4 linked regions of the Lepisosteus oculatus genome follow. The protein of the gene in region 1 purifies or fractionates together with the protein of each later gene. This does not show direct contact. Links are inferred from orthologs where the notes say so. Each region holds a gene or a part of one and is shown in the gene's direction. Other genes may lie near its edges. The genes, in order: smc3, pds5b, pds5a and waplb.

Region 1 (7,831 bases):
CACCAGTTAAAGTTGAGCCCGATCAGTGCATTGCCTTAACCTGAAGGCTGACGTCTCCTAAGATTACTTGAAAAAACAACAACAAGTCCACGAGCTCAGATCCCCCCTCACAGACCCTGAAAAGGGGTGATGGGAGCGTGGAGGAACGAGAACTTTCTAAGAACGGCAACTGCAGGGCCAACAATGACGTCGTTGCTGTCGATATCCATCCTCATCTCCACAATGAAAAACAAAAGACAGTGATACACTGATGCTGCCATCTTTGATCTGTATTGTGATATCAAGTAGGAAAATCGCCTTACTATGATGATGTGAACCTTATTGTGCTCAGAAAGCCTGTGCAAAGACAAGCAAGTTTTATTAATTTATTAAAATGTTAAATTACGTAATAACTGGCAGGAAGTAATTATACTCCATGCCTTGTTGGTCTTAAAAGTGCTTTTTTAAAAAAACAACAACAAATATTTATTTTGCTAAAGACAATGACGTGGAAATGCTAATAAAGTAATTTGCCAAATGGGACATGGTGGTGTTGTTGTTTTCTAACTGGGACTACACAGAAATGAAAAATTAATCTGAATGAATTAACAGCCTTGGCAATTGAAGTAAACAATCACTTAATTTTGAAGAAGGCTCACTTATCCTGAAGAGGGCTTCACGGCCGAAACGTTGTGTTTTCTCTCTTCTCTTTTCAGCATGAAATAAACCTATTGTTCCTTTGCAGACAATGCATGCTGACGCAGCTACCCACCTGAATCACTTATTTTATTCATTCTACAACTCACACTCAGGTTATCAGAAAGCTTTTTCCTCAGAATCCTCCCTAGGATGGTTTGTTCCTTTTATAGATCTAATTTAAATGTATTCTGCTTGACACCCTAAAAAGGCAAGCCAATTGTTGCTGCATTGAATGCATGTCGCAGTATTAAAAAACAATCCTGTAGTTTCTGGTTGTTCTGAGGATTATTAGCTTACTAGACCACTGGCTTATTGCAAGGCAAGTAAAGTGAGTTAAACATCTGCACACCTGATCTCTTTTACAGGTGCATAGGAAACAATCACTGACAGAAATAAAATGGAAAAATTCATTCGTGCTGTGCTTTGCATATCTCACTTTATTCCAAAAATAGCTTGCATTTCTGTTTCCAGCCTTTAGCTCTGCGTGCTTTTTTTCTTTCGTATTTCCATAAAACACACAGACAGGCACAAAGCAAAACAGATAATTTAAGCAAGAATAATACAGTATGTTCAGTTATTTCACTGGTGCAACTCCGTGTGACTCAGACATGATCCCTTCGCAGCAAAATGACACAAAATGAGGTAAATGATCCCTTCTTGTGAAAGAAACCAACACATACAGTCTATAAATGGTCAAGCACTGATAGCAACCTAGTAGCTTACCAAAATACATGCACAACAAAGACATCGAGAAAAAGAAACGTTAACCTTAACATACAACTTAGCAAATAAAAAACAAGAGGAAATTAAGAAGGTCAAGAACAAAGACGATTCTGAAACCGAAGCAAATTTGGGTATTTTATTTTTCGTTTTTATTAATTTAATATTGATATCAACTTAACAAGGATGTAAAGAAGTGAAGAATGGAATGTGTTGCTCATATGCATGAATTGGACACTAGCACATTCTGATTTTTCAGAAGGCAAGGTAAAGTCAAATCTTGTCTTATAAACTTCACCTCTTGGTCACTCTGATAAAGAAAACGTGCATCGAAACGATTTGTTTTCCTGCAGGACACTGATAGAGTAGGTCTGGTGTTGTTTGTGTATTAAAACAGCTGCGTAATGGAGTGGAAAATTAATAGTTTTTTGTGACTTAAAATGTATTTTGTAAACTGCAGAAACCTAATAACACTCCATGGAATATTGCCCACAGCATTCCTTAGACAGAAACATATTATTCCAGCAGCACCTTTGTAAAAATAAGTATCATAATCACATATCCAGTTTTGTTTCTGGACAGAAAACTAATCATTTTAAGGGTGTTCTCTAACAGAATTGACCTGTGGTAAAAAGCTTTTTCTTACATCTGTAGGTTCGGAAATTCTTTGGTTTGCAGATCTTTTGACTTGGTTTATTCCACGACACAAGCCAAATTCCTGATTGTGATGATTTACACTAGAAAGGAGAACACTGACGTTTGAGATGACATAAAAGTAGGTATTGTGGATTAATGATGTGCTGCGGGGTGTGAAAGAAAAGAATACAATGGGCATGTTCAGCCCTCCTTCAAAACTATGCAATCAAACTGTAGATTGTTTGTGTCCTGATCTGTTTTGATATTTTTCAACATTTTCCCATTGACGTTTACCTAGAAAGTCACCCCAGCCCACAGACAGTTACGTACGATTTGCTAAATTGCAGTCTGGTCTTTCTCTAAATGTCATGCCACTTTCATTTGAATCTGTGAAACACTGTGCTGCTTTTGCAATCTATCAGCACAACAAATGGTCACATATATCACAAAGTCTAAATGTAGAACTGTTTGACAGACAAAAGCATCCTATCTCTTCCTCAGAGCATGTCCAAGTCACTGTGAGATAGACCTAGTCACAAGCTTATTTATGCTGTTTCTGTGAAAGGCTTTTATTTTCCTTATTTTTATTTTGCTTTAATGATAACTTATTCCTTTATCATCAAACAAAAAAAGCAAACAGTGGCATTTTTTAAATTTCATTTTTGTATAGTCATGATTTATGCTTTTTTGGTTTCGTGCTCTAATGCCAGCTGTGCCAGTGGAATGCTTCTTTACATTAAAACCACCTTGAATCTTTCATTTAATGTCAGCTTAAAATGAGCATCTTGTCACCCCCCTGAATGAGCATATGGCCCTTCCCAAACCCATATAAAAAAAACTGCAGTGTATGTGCCTGCTCTGTTTTGTGCTTTGTATTCTGCTGCATGCATACCTGGGTTATACCCATGTAGTGGCTGTTCTTTTGAATATGGCAGTGCTACTATAGGGTACAGAATGTACTCACTACCACAAGCAGTGGATTTTGAAATACAAGTTCTATGGCTTTAAAAGGGTGCTAATTTACGACATCAGTGCCTTGTACTTTCATTTAAAAACAAATGTGAGATCATCTTGGTAAACTTTATATGCATTATCCCAAACTTTTGGTTTTTATTTTATTTTTGCTCAGTGGTAGGGGACCACTGCTGGCAAAGATGTTGGATTTACAGAGAAGAGAACATCTGCAGCAATCTCCAATGTAGCGCAGCAATAATGTTAGAGACTAGGGGTTGTCGGCGTGGGAAACTGTCAGTCCAGAAGATATATAACACCCTTTCCAAACTCCCTCGGAGTCCACTTGATTGTTCATAACACAACCCACCTTTTCGACTTTAAGCATGTGCTTAAATGCGTTAACAATGAAAAATAACTCTAGAATCCCATGACAATGAAACATTCTCGATGAAACGATGTTAGATTTGCGCCATATTAAATACCTCTCTCTTTAACTATGTTAATTTGTATGTTTTCTAGCCATTAATTTAAAATGTGACGTCTGACATTTGTCATCTTACAATACCTGTCATTGTACTTGAAATTTCAGTAAAACGATTGGACTTATTAAATCTTAAATCCAAATCTTGAAATATTTGGGTTTTACGGCGTTTATTACACATCTAAGACAAAACTATTACAATCTGAGAACAGTAAACAGCGCCACCTGCACCCTAGTCCTTATACTTTTGCAAACGTTTCCTTTCACGTTTAAAGCCAAAATTGCATTGACAGGAAAACGGTTTTGACAGAGATCCTTAGAATGTAGTTGCAAGATACAGTAGTTTTTTTTTCAATTACTCTACACATCAGGCCCTCAGTATTTTTGTAAAATAACATTTTGAAGCAGTAGTTGCAATGGAAACGACAAGACTTTTGGATGGAGTGGGTAACAGTCGGCTAATGTAAACAACACTTATTAATATATTTTCATTGAAAAAGCGTCTTTCGCTCTGCATTTATTTACAAAATGGAACAAAGTTCACACCACTTTTTCACGGCAACCTTCAATTGCTTCTACATGGCCAATGGCTTTATAGCAGATACGGGGAATGAAACGTCCTCAGAGCACATCTGGTAGCCTGTTCAAGGTTTGCTGTCGGTGAGGAATCATCCGTGTTTATGTAACGTCTACCTGCCTGATTTGTATTTTTTGTACTCATTTTTCTTTGGTCTAGAATTAATATCAGCATTACCCATCTTTATTAGCCCGCATTTATGTTTTTGTGTAAAACGGACGTACATAGGTACACATCACATTGATTACAAATCAAAACTCTGTAATCCGTTCGGGTTTTTTTTTACATTGGCGGGAACGGGAAACCTAAAGTAGTATCTCGCTGCCAACAAAGATGGCTAAAAATAATCCATAAAATCACTTCACGACTGTCGACATGTAAACAATGTAGATAAAGAGGATTTGTAGTATATCTATCACCGCATATTAAATGTCTAATAGTAAAATGTAGTTTAAAATAACATTGAATTCAGTTATACAGTATCGACTACAGTAACGCAGTTGAACACACCTCAGACTCTGCAGCTTTGGCGCCGAACCTTTCACCTTATGTGGTGCATACCAACTGTCACACATAGGGTGGGTGTTAAACACTAATGACGAGAGCTTTTCTTTAATTAAATTTCATAAACTTAAAATGATATTCTGGAATCATACAGAATTATTTTTGTTTACAAATATTATTGACGTCCAGTGTCCGCCATGCTTGGTTTCATAATTATTTAATTTAACCGACCTCCCCTACACTGGACAATTCAAGCATACCCAATTTGCTCCCTCCTCCTGTCGCCATCTTGGTGCCTGTTGTTTCTGTGTTTTCATGGGGGGGGAGAGTTTGCTTTTTCCGAATAGTTTGCTTTAAATAACTTCATTCTAACCATTTATTGATTAAAATTGATAGCTTTTCGCTCCTTCCATTCGGTGGAAGGAGAGGAATTTTCCAGTTCCCTATCGTCTCGTTGATTTGTCTTTTGTGAGGGAAAATTACCTGGGAATCCGAACATGTACATTAAACAGGTACAGTAAAAACTGCTCTTCTTCTTTGGTGGAGAAAAACGTATTCGAGAGGGAAATTAGAAACAACGCCTTTCAGATTAGACAGAGTTCCTTTGCCTTTGTAGCTGTTGGTGACTTGAATAAAATTGTGAAATGGTTAAAAATAGTTGCAACTTGGGCAATGAATGAGTTGACGTCCGTGTTTACAAGCCTTCATCGGGTAGACGTTGGAGTTTCTGTACGTCGGGTTTGAGCCTTGAAATACGACGGGAATACTGTAATCTTTTTTATAAAGGGGTAGTATGTTGCTTGCTGAACCAATATTGTTTTGCAACCAGGAGTTCGTCAGCTGAAAGAAGTAGGCCTCAGGCTATCTAAATATCTGCAGGAAAAGGGGATTTTTTCAGAGATGAGTGCTTAAACTAGCTTTCTTAGATGGCGAGCTGCTGCTGTTGTTGTTGATTCTCTTGCTGAACATTTGGCTTGTGATGTTTCTGTGCTGAATGACGTAGAACGATGGGAGCAGGGGAGAGGGCTGTCACATTGTGTGATCCGGAAAGACAAACGAACCGAGGAGAAAGTTCAAAGGTCCATCCCGCATCCCAACACCACCGGTGTTTCAATCTAAATGATTTAAAAACAAGTTTCAAATCTTAAGAGTGATTTGAGGTCCGAAAGTCTTCAAGTGCTTGAAGTTGCAGCCTGTGTTGTATCTACCCAAGTGTGCAGTTTCTTTTGCCTAGAGGCAGGTTAAGCAAAAGTGGACAGTAAACCCCAGCTCGAAATGAATACTGTTAGCTTTACCTGGGATCATACTTGCAGTACGTAGGAGGTTTTGCTCCGAACGTGACTCTGATATCGAAACTCATCGGTAGTAGCTTGGTAGTTGATAGAAGCGATGACTGCATTGTGTTTGTGTGGGTGCTTGTGAGGGGGTTCCTGGAGTCCATGAACATCCCCCAAACTGCAGCTCAAGGGTGATTTATGAAATTCAGCAACTATTGTGCTGGAGTTTGAACCATACTGGTTTTAAACATAAATGCCGCTTGCCATTTTGGGTGCCAAAGAAGCAAATAAGAAAGTAAAAGCAAAAGCAAAGTGTGAGATAAAGGAAAAAAGAATTCAGAGCTACAATTTCACAGGTTACAACAACATCCTTTTCAGAGAGAAGAGGTAATCGGGGAATTGAACATGGGGTTCAACAGATAGTGTCTCGGACAACTAAGATAAGATAAGATCACTTTATTGGCCATATACAGTTTCCTGCATTAGGAATTCATCTTTTTGCATACCCCAGCTTGCTCTCCATGAGACACAGACACACAGACAGAGAGAGAAGCTTGGTGTCAGAGCGCAGGGTCAGCCATTGTACAGCACCCCTGGAGCAGTTAGGGTTAAGGGCCTTGCTCAGGGGCCCAATGGAGTAGGATTCCTCTGCCGGCCGTGGGATTTGAACCGGCAACCTTCCAGCCACAGGCGCAGATCCTAAGCCACAGAGCAACCGCTATTTCTATTTCTATTTGCACTATTTCTGATACACATGCTTTTACCAGTGCATGTTAATACACACACACATTTATTACATAAATCAAAGAAGTAGAAATCTCTAAAATCCTATGGTTTTTACAAAAATCTCTATAGTGACAACGTGAGACACCTGATAGTAGACGGCAAGCATTTCCACCAAAGGGAAGCTAGATGGCTGATATAATGACTTAAGTCAACTTTTCTATGTTGAATAAACCAATATGTCTGGATTTTCTGAGAGAAAATACAATTAACACATTTCATTTAGCACAGTTTTAAGTATATAATACTTTGCTTTATTAAGTTATTGAAATGTTATTATTCATTATTGAATTATTATTCATTTTTGTCATTTGAAATATTTTAAGTTGAAAAATTGAAAGACTGTTTGCCTTTAATGGTTGGTTTCAGAAATTGAAATTGAAAGCGTTCTAGAATTTAGCATAATCTCTATGCAATATGATGGGTGTCACAATTTCTCCTGAATGTTTATCTTTTCAGGGTGGTGCTTAAACACTGACAATGCCTGTAAGATAAGTGTCTTTCCCCCCTGTGTAAATTAACCAGTTGTTTAGAAAACTATAGAAACCCAAAAATTGTAAAATAATTTTTAATTATAGGTGTGTTTGAAACATTTTTTCTTAAATTGAATACACATAAAGTGTATTAATAAATTGTGGAAACTAAGACCTGAGTGTTGAAATTAAATGCCTGGTTCAGTAAATTAAATTAATCAACAGCTCTTTTGGTACAAAAAACATAAGGTGCTTGGTACACTAGGACAAAGGCTGGAGAATTTCATCTAGATGTCTCCACTAAAAGTGCTGTTTTCATCTTCCTTCAGTAATTACAGCTTAAAGCACATGAAGTCATTCTATGTGGCTCATAACATGCAGTGTCTTGAAATTAACTATATTTGAATTGCAGATTTGATTTAGTTCTTTGTTTATACGGGTAGTAGAAACTGATGTAGAGGTAAGGATTTGAGATTGTAGCAGTGTATGAGAACCAACCTGGGTGAACTTCCAAAATTATCTCTACATTTACTTTACCATAATCCCTGCTCCAAGAGAGCACCTTTTCAGCACCTCCCATTAAATCATACATTTAAAACATTGCTGTGATCAGTTAAACAGGTGACAGTCACAGTAGTGATCTGACAATTAGCAATCTTTTAGAAGAAAAATGTAATGACCCTTGAGTTTCCAAGGGTTCTTAATTGGTATAAATCTTAATAAAATCAATTCTTAATTGAGAAATCAC
Region 2 (7,189 bases), on another chromosome or scaffold:
ACATTTCTTGCATTGATTGGCAATTTACACTGGCCTTCTTTAACATAACATGTGGGGCTTCTGAGTGGCTTGACTGTTGTAGGTGGTTATAGATATATTATAATTAATTATAGATATAATTAATATTAATGAAGTCCAAGATATCCTAAAATGCTTTGCATGCAGAAGGGGGGCCATTTATCCCTCCTATATTGCAGCACCCATTATGCGCCAGCTGTCCCACTACACAGCAGGTCAAGTGAATTAAAGGAGGAGATGTAGTTAGGCCAGATTGAACAAACTTTAATTGGGATGCAGTCAGAATATTAAGGCTAACACCCCTGCTTGTCATGGGATCCTTAATGGGAACATGTAGCCAAGATTTCTGGCTTGTCTGAAAGACAGCATCTACTCAAGCTGTGTCCCTAGTCGCCATTCTGGTGCATTCGTTTGGACGTTCTCATCCAAGAGTGCCACCTACACCAGTTAGAGCAACAACCTCATTTTCCTTAGAAGTCTCCTGTCCCAGTACCAGGAACATTCTGCTCCTTCCATCCAATTCATAGTTACTCAGCAACCAATCACAGTAATGAACAGTCTCTTATTTTGCTAAAATTGATGAAACACCGGAATTTCCAGTACCAGTATTGCTTTCGTATAAGCTCTTTCCGTGTTTGTACAAGTGTGCTGCTTTTCTTCAGAATCACTCTTGGTACAAAAGCCATCCACTACAGAGATAGTCATTGCTGCCAGGTTATCAAAGTCAGGCCTGAGGGTCATGCTGTCTTATTTCCTGGTTTAATGTTGCTTATGTAGGTCAACTGCACGTATCGTTGACTTAGAAAGCCTTGAACGGAATCAGATATGTCTTTGTGTTGAACATTATCCATCTTCTGCACTCCAGCTTCAATGCATTTGTGTTTGTGCACGTGAGAGGCAGTGGGTATGCCAGGATACTTGGAAATCATGCTGGTTTTGTGAAGCATTTCAATTTTTCATTGAAACAGAAGATCCGGCTGCAGAGTGCCAGAAAGGGTCATAGGGAACATGGTGGAGAAGTTCAAAATGGTCAGATCACAATGGCAAGTGCTGAATTCCGAGGAGCCCTGGAAATGTCAGGATTGAAATCCGATTAAAAACCTTCAGTATAGCAGCAAGGCTTTGCCACGCTGTCCTCTGGCTAATGTGTTAGATGCTGGATGTTTTTAATACATCGGCACAGAAAAGTACAATTTTGAATATTTCTTTCTTCAGATTATGTTAAATATAACAACTTTGAGTATTTGCAGTATTTGCAATGGGTTTTAAGTGTGGAAATGAAAGGGAGTTTTAATTATGCAGGTAAAGTTTTGTTCTTTTACACAAACAAAAAACATAGAAGATAATCTGATTTCTGATGTTCTTGAAATAAGTTTCACTAGAATTCTTAGGCATTACAAATCTGATGCATAGAAAACAGTTTGGTAGATTTTATTTTTTGTAGTAGACTGGAAGGCTAACAGGTGTAAACTAAACTTGAGATACTGTCCTGTTCTGAGTTGTTGCCTGTTTCAATATGTCAGATCTACCATTGGAAATTCTAATTATTTTAAAAAATTATTTTTTTTATTATTTATTACAGCTGTGATATAAAAGAACCTTCTAATGTGGAACCATTTGGTTAATTTCAGTATTATGTGAAAGACTTTTCTCATTCCAATACATTGATTTTTCCTTTTAGGTTATATATTTTTCAACTGTTTTTAGTCTGCAGGAGCTACCAGTATTAACCCATTTATTCATGTTTTATATTGCATTTTTGTACTCTTGGAATATTTTGACCAGTTTGTTACTGTTAAATAAAGTCCTACTAAAAAAAATGATCAATTCTTTTGATAAATTATTTTAAAATACAGTAATTTCAAGAATTCTAAGATTAAATACACCATTAATACTTGGAGTTTTGTTGTTTGTTTTGTGTTTCTGAAATGTTTAAGTAATGTTTATTGCACAGTAACATAATAATAAACATTTTTATGTACTTCCTATAAACGTAGCATGTCAAAGAGCTGTGCACTAGGTGTAAAACAAAAGTTATAAAGACAGCAATTTACAAAGTGAACACATATTAGAAACACAGGAAGTTAGAAGTGCTGAACTAGAAACATGGTCATTAGAAAATGGTGAAGACAGACTCTCAAGTAAGCCTTTCTGAAAACCTGTTTATTGCAGTCAGTGGCATAATAAACCCTAAAAGAAATAAAAAAGATTTTTATTAATGAATGGAAGTACAGTAGCTCACACTGTTTTAAAAGTTTTAAGTATTTAAGTATTTTACCAATTTACATAAATACATCACGTTATTTTAATGTATGATTCTGATTCCAGAGTCATTCTGTTCCTCGGATAAAAACAAATAATTTTGTAACATTTTCACAAGTACATTCTTGCACTGCGTCTTTCGGGCGAGACGTTAAACCGAGGTCCTGATTCTCAGTGGTCATTAAAGATCCCCGAGCATTTCTCGTTAAGAGTAGGGAGTTATCCCGGTGTCGGGGCCAAATTCCCCCCCTCGGCCTTTACCGTGGCCTCCAAATTGTCCCCCTGTATGATTGGCTTGAAGTTGCCCTGCGATGGACTGGTGTCCTGTCCAGGGTGTACCCTGCCTTGCGCTCGTTCCTTGCCGGGTAGGCTCCGGCTTCCCCCGACACCGTATGGTATAAAGCGGCTTTGACAAATGACATGAGACGACATTTTTGAACTTTCTTGAAGGCAAATATTTTATACGTTTTTCTTGTTTTGTCCAGGGATTTATTTTCGAACGTAATAATATTTAAACCGCCGGTCAAAACCGAAGCAAACCTAAATCTATTCAGATGCATCAAAGGCAGTTTACTGCCACATGAATCCAGGAGAAAGTTGGAAAGCAGAGCACAGGAAGTAAAGGCTGCCTGTGTCCTAAAGAAAAGGTTGAAGAGGTTCCTGCAAATTAAGAGCCAATACAAACCAATGTTTTAAAACAGGAGCAATGACATGAAATAGTCCCAGGCTTTCAAAGGTTTGTTAAATCACTTTTTAAAAACGCATTGACATTAAAGTTTATATTTTAAAATGAACACAGCCTTTTCGCTTTTGAGAATCCTAATAGATTTTTTTGCATGCAATATATTACGAATACATTGATGAATATTTTCCGACTTCACAGATCGGACCAATTTGGGACCTCTGCTTTCCTGCTCTGAGCCACGCATTCTTGCTGCCAGTCAAGAATAATTATTGTTTCCATGTCTGTTTTTTTTAATACAAAACACATATAGCTGAATAAAACAATGAATTAAACGCCATTCAAAGGTGAATTTAACAATTTTACAAAAAAATGAATGTATTTTTAACCATTACTATATGGCACTTCTGCTTCTTATTTAGTCATTTAGGCACTTAAGTCAAATCCAGTTAATTAACAAGTACTGGTTGTGAACGAGGGCTAAACCATTTGTAATAAATAACAAGCAAAGAGATAATGGAATGGAGCAAATCGGCCAGAAGGGTATTAATAAAGGTACTGGGATAAATGCACTCTGTTATCAAGTAGTTCAGTATTCTGAATCATCACAGGTCTGAACAACATAGATTTAATGAAAGTATTTTTAAAACAGAATTTCTTAAATACTACGAATGCACTATGTATGGAAAAGAACAACACGTAATGGTTGCATACATTGAAAGACGATTAAAGCAAAACATTTAACCAATGGGATTTTTAGCCTATCGTGATGAACACCTTTCCAAGAAATACCTGTCAGTAAGCCCCCCCAATTTAGACATAAAATGTAAGTATATGATCATTATGTGAAGTGTGACTCTTCATCATAAAATACGTTATACAGAGCTGCAGGTCAAAATGAAACAATTGTGCAAGATTGATTAATGTGACAATACGCAACTACACACGGTGTGAATTTCATTTTGTGTCTGGAAGATGCTGGAGTAGTCACTGTGTAACCCGAGGTGAAAACCTTCACTGAAATTGGAATTAATTTATGTGCAAGGTGTGTGTCAAGTGAGAGGGACGGAATATTTATCTCACTGCAAAAGGAGAGAGTCTTGCAGGCGGCGCTGTGGGTCTGTGAAAGAACTTGGGGCTGCGCTCTGTTGGACATCTTCCCCTAGGTGGCGCTGTGCCTCCGCGACTGTCTGTTCTCGGTGGCTCGATTGGTGCAGCCGGAGACAAATTGGCGCCATTTTGAAGCCAGGAGGAGGATCAGAGCTGCAAGAAGACACGATTGGCTGTTATTCATCAAACTAGGTAGGATTAATTAACACCAAATGCTGCAAATTTCAAATCAAAAGGTGTATAACAACAATGGTCACGCAGGGGTGCTTAGAAGTGCAAAGAATAGTGCGTGAAAGACTGTTAAAAGAAGCGTTTGTTGTCTGGCGGCTGCTGTCCGCTTTTCCTGCCTGTATGGTGCTTGCAGCACCGGGGAAGAGAAAGAGACTCCACGGGTTCACCTCCCCCCCGCCTCTAAATGTGAAATATGTTTATTTCGCAAACATAGTTTTTGCATTTAGGACGGGACTTCATATGTGGGCTCCGTGCATGCTCTTTGACATGTATATTTCTCCCTGAACGTGTGATTGTATTGCGGTTTTGACGGTGCTCGTGTGTATGAGAGCTGGCCTGGTGAGAGGTGTCCGTACCACGACAGTGTGTTTTCCTTAATTAGCGCTTGCCTGCTTCAGTCGCACTGAACACTGGCAATAACAATCTCCTCAAGACCCGGTTTTCACGGTGGCGCGTTTCGCGGTAGTTTGATTTCGACCGGAATCCGGTTGATGATAAGCTGGTGCATGTTTTGTTTTGGGTTTTTTTTTTGTCTTCATTGACCGAGTCCCTGGATTTAGCGGTGTGGCAAAAGAAAAACTCAAATCCCCCCCAGCCCCCCCAAACCAAGAAGCAGCAGCAGCGGCACGGCCGTGTGAAAATATGATCAGTTGTTTGGGTTAATCTTGGCATTGTGACGGTCCGGTAGGTCTCCGGGAAGCCATCGGCTGCCACGGCTGCCTGCTGCTACACACGTTGTTGGTGCCCGTGAAGCTACACGATTGGGCTGGACGGCGATTGCTTTCATCGGGTGGAAATACGCGACGGGTTGTCCCGTCTTTTGGAACGCAGTGCCCCCCCCGCTCCCGGAAAGGTCCACGCGTCTCGCACGCAGGGAGGGAATTTGCGTGGTTTTGGCGGTCCGTGTAGCACAGGCTGGGGGCGGGGTGGTGCGGGAGAGCTCGCCAAAACTTTGTTTTGAAACGCGACCGCCAGCCCCTCTCTCGAAACCAAGCCGGGCTCCGGGGAGATTACGTAACGCGACGGGGTTGCATTTGTGTCACCTCGCTCGCTGCACCGTTCTTTTTTTTGGGGGGGTCGTTTTTCGGCAGATGAAAGGCGCCCACCCCTCCGTATTTCCGCTGGGACGGTGTTTTGCGCCTTTCGAGAGCACGACCCCACAAGTGAAGTCGGTGCGGTGCGGGAGCTCTGCGTGGCGACCCGGTGAAGCGGGAGTGTAGCCTGCCGTTCCTGCGACGCCAGAGCGCGGTGTTCAGGTGTCTTTTCTCACCGCCGTGTACAATCCGCCGACCTTATGCTCGACTCGACAGAGTGACCAACCGTAAAGGTTTTGTTTTTATCCGAACGAAGGCTGTTGCTCTATGTGGTGTTTGGCTTTGCAAGGCGTTGCTCCGTGTATTCTGCTTTGACCTGTCTTCTCCTTTGCCGGTGTCGGAGGGGGGGATTCCGGATTCGCCACTTGAAACGTGGAGGTAACAGTAACGTCTACATTTTCTCGAAGTTAAACCCCTAAGCTCTTGTTGTTTGGCTTTTTAACGTTAGTTTGCACGTTGATATTTTGTTTAAAAGCTTAGGGGGTCCATCAAGGCGCTTCGTCTATGAAAGACAAAGTAATAGCTTTTGTCGGTGTCCACCAGTTTGTCTTGTTTCCTGATCAAAAGTGTGATATAGGTTGTTAACAGGTTTTCAGTCCAGATGGGCTTGTTAGGACTTGAACCAGCTCATCAGTGGCTCATAACTGCACCAGTTTGACAGCTTCTCCCTTCTGTTTAACTGTTTTTTTTTCCCCAAAGACATATACCAGCCCTCTGGGACCAAAACTGAGGATCCCTGTTTTGAACCCGAGAATAGTGTTAAAAATTCCCTCAGAAATATATTTTGTATAAAGTGGTGATCATCATAAATGGTGTGCGAGGATTGTGATTGACCAGCTGTATGGCTTCTGCAGGATAGCAGCCAGGGAAACGACAGTCGTAGTTAGTACCCTGTTCTCACAACTCATAATAGCAAATTGAGTTAAAAGTCCTGGGTTAGCCAGTACTGTTGTATCCTTGGGTAAGATAATTCACTCTGGTTGCTTCTGTTGAATGATCAGCCACTCGAATACAAATCTACCTCTTTGGATGTGTATATCAGCCAATTTAATAATGGTACAAGTGGATAATTTGAGTTGTGATCCCATTTTGTTGAACTGTTCGACGACAAGAGGTTTCCATTGAGAAACTCTTGCTTATGTGGTTGCTTGATATTTGTTAATCCAAAAATCACCTCAGCTTGTTTCTTGAAAACCTGCGTAGCTTCTGGATATTAGCTGCATAGTTTGTTCAAGACCCTTACTACGCTTGGTGTAAAGATGCTCTTCCTGGTTTCCATCCTCAGTGCTCTTCATTTTTAGTTGTCAGGTGTGACCCTATGTCCATGTTTCAGTGTTGACCGGGAAGTAAGTTAACTGTCTCACTACTTCCGTCTATCCTCAAAGGCTGGCGTCCTGCGGGTGTCAAGCAGTGTATTCCGGTCACAGATGGCTTGACCCTTTAGCTGAATCATCAGGTGAATTAAGAAAGTAAGATCAGAAGTGTAGTAAAGACCAGCAGACAAAGGGCTGAAGTTGGCCATCCTTATGATTGTTCTCCTTGCTGTGCTTTGCTGTCTTGAACTGTGAAACAGCTACCTCATCCGGGAAGTAAGAATGCAGCAGATCTTGAACACTAGTAGCTACAGATGTGTAAATACCTTTAGATTGCTTTGTGAACCCAGGCACATGTCTCGTGAGCCCTGGCAACAGAAATAGATTTTGCAGTTGCTCTCTATGTTGAGAAGGAATAGAGCACTTCTGGTTAATACGATGCACTTTTTCACTTCCAGGTTAGTACGGGGAGACTTGTG
Region 3 (7,728 bases), on another chromosome or scaffold:
ATCTCTAGCCTGTGACCTCCTTGATTCTGCGGTCTATTGTCACTGCCCACTGAAAATCTTCCCTTCCTCTTATTTGAAGACCAAATACTGACCTCATCGACTTTATCTACTAGCATGAGTGTCAGGTCCCAACAGGTCACAAAGAGCAAAAAAAAGAGTGTTGTACAGAAACCCATCTCCCAATGTTGACTGAAGAATGCACTGGCTTTATTTTGAAAAACTTGTTTCAATAATGAGAAATTAGGCATTGTGTCTAATTTCTTAGGGCATTAGGCATCGTCCCTGGAAATACCTGTGGGCCTACAGTTCTGTCCTTATCTCATCACACCGTAATTTCCACTTATCTCCTGCCACTCGACACCCTTGGTCTCTGTGCTCAGCTGAAAAGACTGTTTTTCAGAAAAAAATTCAGACGACACCCTGTTGGGTGGTGTGAGCAATATGTGTGTTAGTGCGGCCTGGAAAGGATTATGAGACGATACAGATGGTTTTCTTTGGATCAAGGATCACAATGACCCCGACTGAAGAGACTGGCACAGGACAATCCCTGCGCACACGCCTTTGCAAAGCTAAGCAATTTATCGGAATGAAACAATTCTCCAAACGTGCGAGCTGACCCGGCCGCACACCTCCGCGCTAGCAGTACCTGGCCAAGGTGGACTTTCCGGACCCGGGCGCACCCCTCAGCAGGACGAGAACCCGGCCCACCAGGACCGGTATCTTCCCAGAGCCGTGCAGTGGAGGCCGGGGCGGCGCCGGCAGGGCCCGGGATGCTGGGATAGGGGCGGGCGGTCTGAAGGGAGGCGCCCGGCCGCCGGCTCCCGGGTCGGAACCGGGCCTCCAGTGCCCCGGATCGGCCGCCAGGGGGGTGACGAAGGCGGGAGCTCTGCTGCGCGGCTGGAACTCCGGGGCCTGGGTGTTCCAGATCACGGGCGCGGCCGGCGACCTCAGGGACCGGTCCGCAGCGCGGGTCTCCGAGCCGTGGCCCGTCCCCTGCTCCGCCTCCCCCAGCTCGCTCCCATTCGGGCTGCTGCCCTCCCCACCACCAGCAGGGGGCGCGCGAGGAGGTCTGGAGCTCTTGTACGCCTGGAAGGCAGAGGGTCTCCCGCTATCCCCCAAGTCCAGCGCCGCTTGCCTGCTGCTCTCAGGCTCCAGCGCCAGGTGGCTGAAGTCGAGGAAAGTGGTCTCTCCGGGGCAATACCCTGCCCCGGTTAAACTCAGCCCGCTCGCTGGGGAACAGCTTGGCACAAGCTCTTGCTGCTTGGGGCCCTTGCCCCTGTCTTGCTGCCATTCTGGGGTGGACCTGCTGGCCGTGCCGGACATGATCGGCCCCGGATGCTCGCTGCTGACACCCGAATCCTCGGCAGGCTGGACAGCGCCGTCGAACGGCTCCTTCGCCAGAGCCCGGAACTCACTGTCTATCAGCTCGTCAAAGTCCTCGGTCAGGTGCGTCCCGATCGCGTCCAGGTCCCGCAGGCTGGCCTGTGAGGCGGCGGCGGTGGCGACGGTGGGGGGGCTCGTCTCCACGGCTCGGGAGGCGTGGGCCCCAGCTGGGGGGCCGGGAGGTAAAAGCGCCGTGGTGGACTCGAAGCCCAGGGGGCAGCAGGCAGGGGAAGCCCCCTCCGCGGCGGTAGACAGCATGAGGAGGGAGTCCATCGCCGCTTCAGCTGGGAAACAGGGGAACAGGAGGAGTCAGCCTTGTTAACCGTTTGGGTAACAGCAGCAGCAATAGTGTTCTTACGTAGGTTATTCGGTGCTCGGCTGGGGTACAAAAGAGTAATGCAGGGCGATTTTCTAGACCATGGGAGCAAATCGTAAGGCTTTATGTGTAAAGTAATAAGAATTTCATTTCACACATTTTTTCCCTTATGAACATGAATCAAGGAATGGCCGTATTATCCCTTCAATAACTTGATCTCTGTACATGCAACCTGTAAGTATCACCTTTTGCCTATATAATTCGCAATCCTCTGTGCCACTGAGCTATGCATGTTGACAGGAGTTTAGTATGGACCCAGGCATATTTGCATGGATTTTAACATTTGGCAAAATATAAAGGTGTTATTTAACTCGGAAAAGACACCTTCATGCTTCATCTGAGTGGAAATAACATTGTTCCCCGCGGAAGACCCTAAAATAGCTAGGGGGTTGTGCTTTTGAAATGTCTTCATTTTTATGTAAAAAAATAATATTATCTAGAAACGCACAATGTTATTATCTTGTAACTGTACCAATTTTTAAATTGTATGTAAAAAACATATAACTATTATTGAAAACTACTATTTGAAACAAAGTATCGGTCCGTCAAAAAAAAGCAACACCGACAACTTCCCATAAGATGGTTGATTATATACAGCTGATAGGGACTGACCTGATCCCTGGTGTTAACACCTCAACTGAACAAGCAAGCACCTGTTTCTCAATTCGCCGATTTCAGCATTCCTGACACTGACCGATAAACTGCGGGACAACAGCCTGAAATATGTGATTTGAAGACATGCAACATGTCCCACTGATTTAATGTCAAACGCAACAGTTGGGATAAATACAGTAATACCCCACATCTCAAACAACGTGGACAGTCCACTCATAATTTTCCGTTCCCGAAAAACAGTGCACGGCTATTGCAAAGTGGGACAACCTGAAACTCTCTTGGATGGGACAACTTAAAACTATCGTTACTGTGCTGTTGTGGGTTGAATTTGACCATTTGACCAGATAAATCTGAGAATACTCAGATGTGGTCATGAAGCGTGCATGTCCGTGCGAGCTTTAGCGAAACTTGAAGTCTGCCGAGACGATTTATATATATATAAAAAAAACATCTACTGCCGGATTGTAAGACTTGTTTACATTGCAGTGCGGGGCACTGCTGTCAGAGGGTGGAGGGCAGCACCGGTTAGGCCCCGTCCGGGCCCTCAGCCTCGATTTCCAGGGCATGTGCGGCTCTCCCGTGGGGGAGCCTGGGTGCGCGGACGTGCCCAGCGAGGCGCCGCGCTCACCTTGGAAATCGCACTCGGACAGAACGATATAAATGACTTCGGGGTCCAGGTGCCAAAACATCTCCCTCATGCGGTTCAGGATTTCTTCTCTGCCCGAGCTGGAGCTGGGGGGCTCCGTGCCAAACCTCCGCGACATCGCTCCGTCTTTCCCCGTAACGCTGCCGCCTTCGCCGGCGCTCGGGTTCGGCACCCTGGCCGGGCTCTGGGCGCTTTTCTTCTTCCGAGGCATTTTCCGGGCGCACAATGCTAACTTTCACTCCTTCTGGGTTGCACGGCAGCGGAGGCCATCAACACCACGATCAAAACAAGCGTGTGGCCTGAAACCAGACGTGCGCTTCGACTAGAGCGCGCCTAGCGGGGAGGTGTGAGCAAAGCGCCCTGTAGCTACACCGTATCCAGGACAGAAATATCGACGCTTCTCTAGTTCAGGTTATCATTTCATGTTCATAAGGACATTGCAAAGCTTTTGCAAAATTAGGACACTCCATCCCACGAGGAAGCTCGTCGCTGTTAGTCACCCGGTCGATTTTATTTATCAGGTCTGAACAGTGTTTCGGTAAAAGACAGCCCTGGTTATCGTTTTGCAGGGGAACCCGAATACATCTGCACGCTTTCACAGCTGAATTCCTGATTTTATTCCCTGCTAGTCAGCACATTAAACTCGTTTAGGCCTTTCCGCTTTCGGATCTGATTGTGTAACGACGGGCTGAAACAGTATATTTTGTGTATTTGGTATGTGAAAGACAAAGACACCATAGTTTTAGACTCAAACCATCAAATTAGTCCTATTTGGTTTAAAACTGTAATGATCAACTCAGATTTGAATGATGTGCCTACATATCCCTATAGCAGTGAAGTTATACACTGCCGTGTCCATTAGTCGGCGCTGTCACTTTTTTCCTGAGGTGGGACTTAAAGGTTTGTTTTTAACACTTGGGATGGGCGGTTCGGTGTACCGTGTAAACGGACAAAGAAGCGAATCCATAAAGTTTTTCCACAAAAGTTTCCTCCCAAAAATAACACCCGCCTACATTTCAGACTAGTCCGAATGTTATCAGAAGAAGAATTTATAATCAGCCTCTTCGCATTAAAACGTGATGGATGATTGAGCAGTACCAATAATCGTTCCGTAGGTGTACAATCAACACTTGGGGCATAGTGTGTGTACCGATTGTAAAATGTGTGTTATTGCGTGTTCAGAAATGTATTATCGAAGTTGTCTCGGATAACACCGATTCTCGAGTGCTCCCGGGCTCCTGCGAGTTTCAATAAAAACAAAATTGACTGGTGGGTCTAAAACTTTCCTTTGTCAATATGAAACCGCTCGAAGACTTCAAGAACAACTTGAAATTGGTCCAGTTAAATCATTAAGGTCCGAGATGCAATAAAAACCACGGTGGGGGTGGGGAAACCTTGGTTATTTTAAGGGTGTACTACGCCAGCCGGCATTTTTGTCACAACATGAGACCGTCCGTAGGTGCAGAAATGCTCAAAACCTGCGTCCCAACTTAAATAGCGCCCTCGGGGAGGGTTTCGGAGCGAAGACAACGCACGCCGAAAGTCGTGCCCGCCTGCAGTTTTCGGGGTCCTGCACTGCACTGCGCGGCGGGCGTAGCGGAAAGAGTCGGTGCGCCCGTATGCGCGGCAGTACGGTAGCGGGCCCCGGAAAGAAAGGGGGAAGTTTGCGTTGACGTCACTCGGCGGAGAGACTCCCGCCTCTCTCGGCCCCCCCGCCCCGCCTCGCTCCGCCGCTGGGTGGCGCTGCGCCTCCGTTCTCACCCGGGGAGGGGGGACTCGAGAGCGAACGGGACCTGCCTGCCGGAGCTTTTGTTGTTGGGACTGGAAAACCACCTCAGACCCGGCTCATGCGCTAGCCACGGCACATCCATGAGGTAAAAAAAACAACAACACCATAACACCGGCTTGCGGGGCTCTCGCTTTAGGGGAGAGGGGAGAAGGGGGGAAAAGCAGCGCCCCCCCCCCCAAAAAAAAAAAAATGTCTCGATTTTTCTTCCCCGGCGATGTCCCCCGAGCAGGCGCGTGCGGGGAGGGAGGGCGACGGTGCCCTGTGTGGGCAGAGGCAGAGACTGCGGAGCCGAAGTTGAAGAAACAAACAATAAGTAAATGAGTGGTGTTTTCCCGCACAAAAATTAGAAGTTGGCGGCCGTGCCACGGAAATAAGGCGGCGATACACCCGGCGCTCCCCCCTCCAGGGCTGGCGTAAGGGGGCCAAACAGCGCCGCGTTCTTATTTTTGCCGGTTTTTTATTCTTCGCTAACGTGTGTAATTTGAATAGTTTTGCGGCCTAACGCCTAGGCCCAGTATTTACCAGGACGGGGCTGGCTGGGGAGCTCCCCTCGCTGCCTGCCGGAGCGATTTGGGCGACCGGCGCCGAAAATCTCAATCGGGCGCCTGTTGTTGGGGGGTCGGGTGCGGGAGAGTGCATTTTCGATCACGTTTCATTGTGAAATGTTTACTTTTCTACCCTGATTGGTCGCCGAGAGGGAATGAAAGAGGGAGCCGGAGCTGCTTCCCGTCTGGGGGCTTTTAAGGATGTTTTTCCTTTCTCAGGGAAGGGGTGATCCGCGGATCCGGGGCTTGTGGAGAATCCAAGGGGCCTTCGTTGGCTTGATCAACCGTGTGTTGTTTCGTTTTGTGGAGGAGGGGGGGGTGAGGCTGAAAATGGGGTGAAAAGTGCGGTACATTCGTGCTGGTGAACTTTTGTTTTGTGACCGATAGAGGCCAGTAGCGCGCTGTGCAAGAGACGCCGACAGCATGGAGTTCCCGCAGCAGCCCAGACCCGCAGACGGCAAGATCACCTACCCGCCCGGGGTGAAAGAGATCACCGACAAGATCACCAACGATGAGGTCGTCAAGCGGTTAAAGGTAAGCACTGGGCCTTTCACCGGCGTCTTGAAGAAAATAAAAAGACTGGTTCAGCCTGCTCGCTCTGGACTACATCGCAAAGACTACATAATTACATAATGCAGCATTACGTACACGTGTGGAGAGGATTTCTTCATATACATGTCCATTTGTAACGTGAAAGTACTTATTTTTGCAGGCAACACACTCTGCAGATGTACACCTTTAATAGTTAGAGAAGGAATCGTTTGCAAAAGAGTAGACAAGCTGTCTGCTCAGGGAGGTCAAAGGTACTAGTGAATCTAGGAGTTTCTATGAAATATCAGCAGTATTTTCCTCCCACCGGTACTGGGCTTGTGTGTAGAAATAAAGAAGCCTGTATACTATATGTATAAATGTCAAATCACTAGAACCCGAACAGTTTAATCAACGTTTAGTCTTTTTCCACTTTCCCGCATGAGGAGATTAATTACGTTGTAATGCTTTTTTCCCCCAATTGGAAAGCTTTAACATGCGACAGAGGCTGCTGCTGAGAAATTACTGTCGTTGAATGGGTGGTTCGGTTCGGTTAACTGTCATGTGCACAAGTGCGATGAAGTGCTTATTTGCAAGTACTGTATGCTCCAGTATAAAGACGTTAAGGAAACGCCAAAAAAACATAAACACAGAACAGCAGCAGCAAGTTAAATAACATACAACTTAAAAAACCAGCAGTGTGAGCCCAGGGTGGCGGTAGAGTTCAGTAATCTGACGGCTTGTGGGAAGAAACTGTCTCGGAATCTGCAAGCTTGTGCCTTTATGCTCCTATAACGCTGACCTGAGGGAAGGGGGGAGACAAAGGAGGAACCAGGATGACTGGTATCCTTAGCGATATTTCCATCCTTCCTGAAACAGCGAGTTGTGGAAAATGTCCGAAAGAGAGGGGAGCTATACTTCGATGATGGACTGGGCTGTAACACCTTCTGGTCAGACAACGAGCTGACGAGCTAAACCACTCGGCACTGTGTGTTGAATGTGCTGTGTGGTAAATTCTCTTCCTGGCCAGTGAAGGTGTCTGGGTGGACGCGATCGTGTCTCTGCACGGTTTAATAGTGACTCAAAACGGCAGTCGCATGAAGCACCTTTACTGGGGTTTGCTCACAAAACCACTTGGGCTGAGCCAGTTTGGAGGAATGTTGCCTGGTCCTCTCTCGGCCAGGTTACCCGGAGTCTAGGGCTGCAGGTGGCTGTCATGGCACCCAAGGGGGCTCCCACGGAGAACAGGAAGGAACCTGCAGTAAATCTCGGTTAAACATTAAGAGTGCAGGACCTTTGCTGACCTGTTGTTACTTCGGGAAATAGCTGTGTGTATGTGTATGTACTGGGCCTAGTTGTGCTGCACCATGTGATCAGGTGCTACAAGGCTTTGCCTTTATATCGATCTGATCATGCGAGAGAGTCTTTGAAGCACTTGACGTACAGGAGGGGACCTGCTTCATCACTGAAGTGCAGCACCCACCTGGGACACACGTGACTATGTACAGAGCAGGACAGGTGGATACGTTTTCAGGTCCTTCAGCTTAATTAAGGAGAGAGCTTGAGGCAGGCAACATTGTACAAGGCCCAAGCAGAGAGGGTTAACGCCCCCCTACTTTCAAAGAGTGCCCTGAGTGTTATTTGGTAAGCAGATGAAGTCTAGATGTGCACCTGTCTCAAGAGTTGTGCAGCTCTCTGCCCGTGGCTCTCTGAAACTCATGTCTACAAATCGGCAACTACGAGGCTTAACATGGCGCAAACATCAGGATCTTCTCTACTGATGGGTGTCTGGGGATCTGCTCTCGTTCCGTTTAATGCACCTAGTTTGCGTTCTCTTCGACTAAAC
Region 4 (7,205 bases), about 12 Mb from region 1:
CTCCTAAGGGATTGCTAAACACAGAAATGATTAAACAAATTAAAGCTGTCATCAATCGATTAAACACATTATTGCCGTCATATAAGGCCTTGGCCTTACAAGACCATGAGGAATAAAGGGCTTTTATTTTTTTGCTTCACATCCCAATGGTCACTCTCACCATATTTTCAACACTGATCACAACCTGGACCACTTACTAGCTCTATAATCCAATGGTCTGAGACACCGTTCTGTACAGTATTTTGGGGGGAATTTCAAAAGTGGGAGAAAGTCGAAGTCACAGTTAAGCGTTTTTATTTTTTCTTGTGTTTTTTGGGGGGCACTGTACCAGCATGTCTGGTGTGTGGGTGTCGCGGTGCCACGCGAGAGGACTAGGCGGGGCAGAGTGGGCTCAGGGCCGGTGGGCTCCTCACACTCACAGAACGGAGAGTCAGCTGAAAGACAGACAGGAGGCAGGGCGGGACTTAGTCAGGAAAAGACGAGCCTGTTTCATGCAGTGAGTGTTCCCTTGACACCGAGCTGCATTTCTCCAGAGAAAGATTCAAATGTGGCAGTCTTTTGCTGTTGCCCTCAAAAAGAAAAAACTCCAGCTCATTTACTGTCCTTGAATTAATAACCATTTTCAAATGCATTGCTCGTTCATAGATATAGAATCTACATACTGGAGGAATTTCCCTTAAAATCAATGAGTGCATAACACAAAACCAACAAATTGTTCTTTAGACATATAAAGCAAACGAGTACAGCATATCTTTGCCTTCATCAGTAATAAAACCACAGAAAGGTGAGGTGCATGTGTTCGCGAGTGGAATTCAAATTAACGCCGCTCATGATTCTTGCGCTATTTTTGCCAAGAACGCTAGTTTACATATCCCTCCAGCGACGGTGGACGTTTGCGCGTTCGTGTGGTGCCTGAGTGCGAGAGCCAGCCTCCAGATGGCCCCTGGCAGCAGCCTCCTGTCAGATCTCTACAGGTGCGCGCCAACCCTCCCCTCGTCAGCCCCACACAGGCTGGCGTGCCTGGCACCGGCCCGCGCACTCAGCCCGCCTGACAGGCAGGACTCCTGGCACAGGGACACTGGCTGCAGGGCAGCCGGCACAGTGTGGCACAGGCAGACTTCAAATGGCACAAGTTGTACACACCGGCTCTTTGCTTCGGGGCATTAAAGGTTCTTGGTGTGCGCGCTAGGATGGCTGCCAGGAGACTTTAAAGACTCCCGAGTGGTTTGCTGTTCCCTCTCTTCACGACGACAGCTTCTGCAACGTGCCACCGCAGAAAGATCAATTCAGCAGCTTTTGAAGTACTGACGTCTTCCTCATTTCCCCCTTTTATCTCTTAGGACTTTGAGCACCCACTTGTTTTCTGTTGGCAGGTTTAAGACGGAATCTGTCTGTCTTCTTCTTTCTTGAGAAACAAATGTAAAAAAAAAAAACGTGGAAAAAAACAGCGTCCGAGGTATAGAGAGACGACGGGGAAACGAGGCAGGGGGAAAGCGCTTGGGAACACCCTGCCGGGTGTGTGATCGGACAACCGCCGCGACAGTGAAGAGACCTGCCGCAGGCTGTCAGGGGCGCTGGAGCTCCGTCACACCTTTCCCCTGAATTCAAACTCTCCGCACGACAATATTAAAAAGAAACAAAAACAGTATTTTATTAGTATAAAACAGTATTTCTGCCTCTGTTCTCAGAGAAGGGTTTCACGGCTCCCAAAGCAGAAAAACAACAGAAGCGAAACTCAACCTGAAACTAGGTTCACACCATCGACTCCCTCTGAAGCTCCGCGTTGTGCTCTGGGCTGCCGGTCGGAGCGCAGGGCAGTAAGGAAGATTCCCCTCACCTCTCCCGGTGCTTTGCCCTAACCGTGCTCCTGCATCAGTACCCCCCGCGGAACAAGGGCACCGGGGCAGGGAACACTTCCGGCGGGCTGAGAGATTTCGACCAGGCCTGGTGCGGAGGCCTGCAGGGGGACCTCCCAGCGCGTCTCGGCGCGGTGCCCACCTGTCCTGATGCCGCGCAGAGTGGCGTTGATGGTGGCCCGCACGGCCCGCGCGGCCTGCGCCTGCCCGAGCAGGTCGCTGCCCAGCGGGAAGGGCAGCTGCCAGCGGTTGGTGTTGCCGGCCTGCTTCCTCAGGCGGCCGCGCGGAGAGGAGGGCACCTGGGGGCGAAACACAGTCACTGGGGGGGTTCTGGGTGACAGAACCTGCGGCTGAGCGCTACCACCATCCTCCTCCTCACTCTACATTACCCCCTTGTTCTTCCTTTCAAACACTGTCAAGCGAAACAGAACACAAAAAGGACTGTAAATGTTCGTATGAATATCCAGTCCTTTGTTTCCCCGGCTATCCGTCCCTGCGAGTGTTTTGTGTTTCCACAGAAGACTGCTTTGAGCTGGTGCATCTGGGTCTAAACCTTGGCACAGAGATCTACTCGGGGCTTCTCTGTTTTGTTTTCCGAGAGAAAACACCAAAGAGCTCTTACCCTGACCTCTTCGGAGGGTTTGTCCTCTAGCGCTTTATAAGGAGCTTGCAGCAGAGATCTGGTGGCCGAAACAAGAAGGACAATAACGAGACATTATAGGCTGAACTGCAGTCCCCAAAGAACGGCTTTTTATCGGAGTCATTGAACAGCACCCCACCTGCAAAGCACAGTCCAGGCGTCTCACTTACATGATGCAGGCAGCTGCTGGCGTCATGTGTGTCGGGGGTGGGTTGGGCACGAAGGTGTTCTGCAGCGGATGACCTGGAGCGAGCCGAGGAATAGTGCCGCTGCCGTCCCGTGGCAAAACCTGAGCCATAGTCCAAGATCAGTGGGAAGCTTGAGGCACTATTTTTTACCTGCTTCTTCAGCTTTTGCGGATTGTGATAGTCACGACCCCGCTTCCCGTTTAATCACTACCACTGTGTCGATGGCTGTGTCCTAGGAGGCGGTAGGAAGTTAAGACGCTATACTTTGCGACGTCGCTGCGGTCATTCGGAACAACGTGAGACTGGCAATTGTTTCGCACGTGACACGGGAATTCTTCTGTTCTGGACTGTCATCCCCCCCACGGACTCGCTCCTCTCCGTTCCCACGACAACAGAGACGCGGTGGCTATGGAAACCTGCTTTAGACAGATTGCCGCAGTGATTAAAACCACTTGCTTGTAACATCCGTCCTTCACAGCAGTGGAAAAAGTGTAGTGTTTCAGACTGATATCGGAAGAGAGCAGTGAATGGGAAAATTAACATTGTGTAGACATTCTAAAAAAACTATATCGCATCGTACTATATCGTTTGTCAATATCGCCAATCAACCTCAAAAAGTTAATGCTATTCAATACTCATTTATTTGTTTTTCTATACAACATGGAAAACACAACAAAATACAATAACTAATATAACTGTCGTGGTTGCACGGGTGATGTGCAGTTTGCCTTCAATGTGGTTATAGATTTATTTTTTAAGAAGGCGAGTAAACTACTTCTCGGGTGCCAAGAAAATGTACAGATGGAAACTGTTCAAAAACCTCGCCACAAGAGGGCAGTAAATACCACTGTATCGTGACAGCAGACCTGGGGAATTCAATTTTCCACAGAACGCCTCCCTGTGCCTAGCGCCGGTGCTTCGCAAACTGGTTGGTTTTAAAATATAATTCAATGCAGACATTTAATTCATTCATCGCATATATTCAAGATTTAATAGTGCATTAAAAGGGGTGTCAGAATTTTTAAAATACAGTCTTAATTTCAAACGAAGAGGAACAGTTGCAAATGAAATAACCATTAATGCACTTGGTGGTCTCCAGTGTGAAGTCACTGATAAAACCAAAAACATCGACTGACCTAATTTTTATTTTACTCGGATCTAAATATGAATATAATCCAAAGGACAGTCAAGGCTGATATTTGTACGCGCAGCTATACGTTGAAACGTAAAAAATTGAGGCTGCTAGGAGTTAACAACGTAAACCCAAAGCATTTCTGAGATGTGTAAATAAAGGGGACAAAGCAATATGTATTACATAATCTTTGCTCTCCTAATGTTGCTTTTGATCACTACAGATCCCATCATCCCGTTGAATTTACGTATTAACGTCTCCTTCTAGACGCTTCGCCCTCCCCCTCTCTCCTCTTTGATTTCAATCTTAAACCGTTTCCTTCTGCCGTTGGCCAATCAGATCTTCACTCACTGGGACGCAGAACGGCGGTTTAAGCACCACAGGGCAGCATTGCGCCTTGTGATTGGACAGACGGCAGCTCGCTGCGAGGTGACGGTGGTTTTGGCAGCGAAGGAAAGAGGGAGGGGGGAACCCGAATGGCAGTCAGCGGCGCAGCCGAAAAGAGTCAGGCGAGTTTTGAGATAAATTAAAATAACAACAATAGAACTTTGAAAACAAACTTTGCTCGTCCCTGGTGACCCCGGGCTCGCTATACTACACGAAGGGATAGCCGCTGGTGCCGCTGGAAGTAGTTGCCAGCTTGTTTATATTGTGTGAGGGGGCCGAGAGAGCAGGAGGCCCAGTCGAGTGCGAGCAGAGGGAAGCGGCCGCCTCGGAGTGTGAGTGAGGTGAGTGGCCGGCCCGGAGGTTTCCAAACACGGCCTGGTGATCTCCGAGTAAACGGGGGGGTGGCTGTTGCCTTTTTTTTTGACGCAGGTGCGATCGCAGCGACGCAGCCAGGCAGTACCTTAGCGAGCGGACGCCCCCGGTCGCGGTTAAAGCCAGAATCTGTGGGGGCTGGTGCGCAGGCAGGCAGCTCGGCGAGTTTCAGCCCAGCCGTGCGGGCTGAGGAGGGGTGTAAATAACGGTGTGGAGATAAGCAGCTGTCAGGCCTGCGTGCCTCGCGGAGCGAGCGAGAAGAGCCTAGCCTCAATCTATGTCTCGGGTAGCATTTAAAGATTTCTTTCGAAAGCGGATCATTGCGATTCACGTATCGAATAACTTGAACAATGACCTGCGAGAACTGCAAGTTCAATGAAAACACCGTGACGTTGGTCGTGTTGTCGAAAGTGGGACATTGGGGCGAATTGTCATGGACCCAGGGCAGGATGGGGGAGTACAGCATTAGTCGTGTTTTCTCCCCGTGTTGACACGAAAGCTAAGAAAGCTCAATATATATTTTCACCGATTCTTAAAAATACGGTGTAGAAATAAAACCCCTGTAAGTGACGTTCGTTTTCAACACTTTAGCTAGTCTTTAGTGCTTTTATGGTTTGTAGGCCCGATGGAAAACAACCGCTTCTTTTGTATATTACCGTTATGAAGTTTATAGGATCATGAGTTGAGAGGAGTACGAACTGATCGTGATCAAGTACACATCTGTGAAAAGCACGGTGACGCAGATATCCGGCTTTCAGTCTCCACATTAATAGGATCGATTACCGCAAACTCTCACGCAAATTGATTATTGCCAATCGAAGAGAAAGTTCCGGTGCGTGCTATGTTAAAATTAAACGCTGTTTGCTTGACGGCCAGTTACCACATTGGTTGAATGATTCTTCAGTCACGTCGCAAGACTGTTGTAAGTTAAATTTAAGAACAGTCAGCTTTAGTTTAAGAAAATAAGTTGTAATTTGTACTAGTTTGAAATGCATCGTTTTTACGCTTTGACAGCCCAAAACAATGCGCTCGGGCTCACGCATGCGTACTGAGAAGAAAATCGATCCTGCCTGTTGTATCCAAGTTAGCGGATGGCAAGGTGATTTAATATAACTGTATATGATTTAATTTTACAAGCAAAACATGAGTTGATTCAGTATACAGGACGTTTTGGTTTTGTTTGCTTGGTCTTTGTTTAGAAGTGAACGGATTTTAAATGCTGTTGGTCATAAGATATTTGATGTCATACTTGGTAATGTACAATATTTGAGCAGCAGGGTTACTAATTTTAGTAGTTTTTCAAAAACAATGTTGCGCTTCTTAAGTAGTATTACGTACGGAAAACCATCATCAAGATGCGTTTTATATTGTTTTTCATACAGAGTGTCAAAACGGTATAGTGTTTAAAAGCATGTAAATAAACCTTTTTAAAAAAATTATATAAGAGGTTACAAACAAGAAGGTGCAATTCACCTTGTCTAGCACAAGGCTACTACTTGTAGTAGCTAATGATCTCAGTATCACCTTCAGGTCTTTCTGGAGAGAAGCTATTATATCAGCTTCAGAAACGTTACTGTTATGGGCTAGCATGTTCCAGACGTCACAACTCTTAGTACAAAAAGAACCTTCGGTTTTCAGTTTTAAATGCACTTCCTCTTAGTTTCCATTTTTGTGCTCTTGTTTGTGTTTCATGATTCCAAAGACGTCGATAGGGAAGACTGTCAGCTGCAGCAGTGAGATAGTGAGATAGAAAAAGAGATTTTTCTATTGACAAAGTAGAAAGTACTATTCTGATTGTTATACTTAAAAAAAATACCGTATAAATAGATACCACCCTTAAATGCAAGTTAAAACGTTTTGTGAATGTGAATTGCTACCCAGTTTGACACATTTTCTTAAGTGGATTACTACTTTTTGCTTTTCTGATATGCAACAATCTTTCTAAATTGTAATCTTGCAGGTTTTTGTGATCGACGTTAGTATTGCATATATCGGATAAAACGGCTACAAGAAAAAAATCAAATGTTCCTTTCTTACACCAGACATAACAATGGAAAACTGAAACATTTCTCTTGTACAGTCTTGAACATTACATGTATTCAGTATAACTAACTGTAAAATTCGTACCCAGTATTATAGAACTTTCAGTATTGCGCAACTAACTTCTCTGCTACGTTTGGAAACAAAATGGAGAAGGGTGCTTTGGTACCAAATGCAGTGGAGTATTTTTAAGATAAACAGTGAAATATTTAAACATTTATAGTGTAGCGATTTCTATAATGTCACATTGAATAGGATACCTGAAGAGAATATGTGGGAATTTGGATCAGCATTTCAATATTGGAAGTGCATTTGTCACCAGGTCACCAGCTACGTGATATGCTTTGGCAATTTAGTGTGCTGTTTTTTTCTGGGGAAATTTTCACCTAAGCTGTGACACCTCGTTTCTCACAAATGTTGTAAGAGATGACCTAACATTTATTTGAAGCCATCTACCTGTGAGAGATTCTCTCTGCATTTGTAAGTTTTTGCCCTTCCATGGCAAAACTGAATATTATGGAATTTGGATCGCAACTGCAGGATGTTCCAATGCAAATGTGCTTTGAAATACAGGCTTGCCACTTCAGATT

The links.
Region 2: the proteins of smc3 (region 1) and pds5b purify together in Homo sapiens (co-immunoprecipitation; 7 studies listed by BioGRID and IntAct, with this or other methods). This does not show direct contact. The link is inferred for Lepisosteus oculatus from reciprocal best matches to the Homo sapiens genes SMC3 and PDS5B.
Region 3: the proteins of smc3 (region 1) and pds5a purify together in Homo sapiens (affinity purification with western blotting; 8 studies listed by BioGRID and IntAct, with this or other methods). This does not show direct contact. The link is inferred for Lepisosteus oculatus from reciprocal best matches to the Homo sapiens genes SMC3 and PDS5A.
Region 4: the proteins of smc3 (region 1) and waplb purify together in Homo sapiens (affinity purification with mass spectrometry; 7 studies listed by BioGRID and IntAct, with this or other methods). This does not show direct contact. The link is inferred for Lepisosteus oculatus from reciprocal best matches to the Homo sapiens genes SMC3 and WAPL.

The regions. Positions count from the first base shown.
Region 1 is NC_090699.1:39,758,915-39,766,745, reverse strand, and holds the start of smc3 (structural maintenance of chromosomes protein 3), read left to right. Parts: upstream 1-4,820; 5' UTR 4,821-5,047; coding exon 5,048-5,062; intron 5,063-7,831. Other genes in the region: dusp5 (dual specificity protein phosphatase 5), read left to right, coding at 1-39. UniProt on the Homo sapiens protein: Central component of cohesin, a complex required for chromosome cohesion during the cell cycle. The cohesin complex may form a large proteinaceous ring within which sister chromatids can be trapped.
Region 2 is NC_090700.1:14,803,416-14,810,604, forward strand, and holds the start of pds5b (sister chromatid cohesion protein PDS5 homolog B), read left to right. Parts: upstream 1-4,182; 5' UTR 4,183-4,264; intron 4,265-4,692; exon of another isoform or gene 4,693-5,559; intron 5,560-5,576; exon of another isoform or gene 5,577-5,775; intron 5,776-7,189. Other genes in the region: uncharacterized protein, read left to right, coding at 987-1,104. UniProt on the Homo sapiens protein: Regulator of sister chromatid cohesion in mitosis which may stabilize cohesin complex association with chromatin. May couple sister chromatid cohesion during mitosis to DNA replication.
Region 3 is NC_090696.1:68,270,360-68,278,087, forward strand, and holds the start of pds5a (sister chromatid cohesion protein PDS5 homolog A), read left to right. Parts: upstream 1-4,710; 5' UTR 4,711-4,894; intron 4,895-5,027; exon of another isoform or gene 5,028-5,122; intron 5,123-5,741; 5' UTR 5,742-5,777; coding exon 5,778-5,888; intron 5,889-7,728. Other genes in the region: n4bp2 (NEDD4-binding protein 2), read right to left, coding at 647-1,667, 3,003-3,231. UniProt on the Homo sapiens protein: Probable regulator of sister chromatid cohesion in mitosis which may stabilize cohesin complex association with chromatin. May couple sister chromatid cohesion during mitosis to DNA replication.
Region 4 is NC_090699.1:27,849,621-27,856,825, forward strand, and holds the start of waplb (wings apart-like protein homolog), read left to right. Parts: upstream 1-4,186; 5' UTR 4,187-4,325; exon of another isoform or gene 4,326-4,544; intron 4,545-7,205. Other genes in the region: btbd16 (BTB/POZ domain-containing protein 16), read right to left, coding at 329-434, 1,999-2,155, 2,479-2,536, 2,667-2,794. UniProt on the Homo sapiens protein: Regulator of sister chromatid cohesion in mitosis which negatively regulates cohesin association with chromatin. Involved in both sister chromatid cohesion during interphase and sister-chromatid resolution during early stages of mitosis.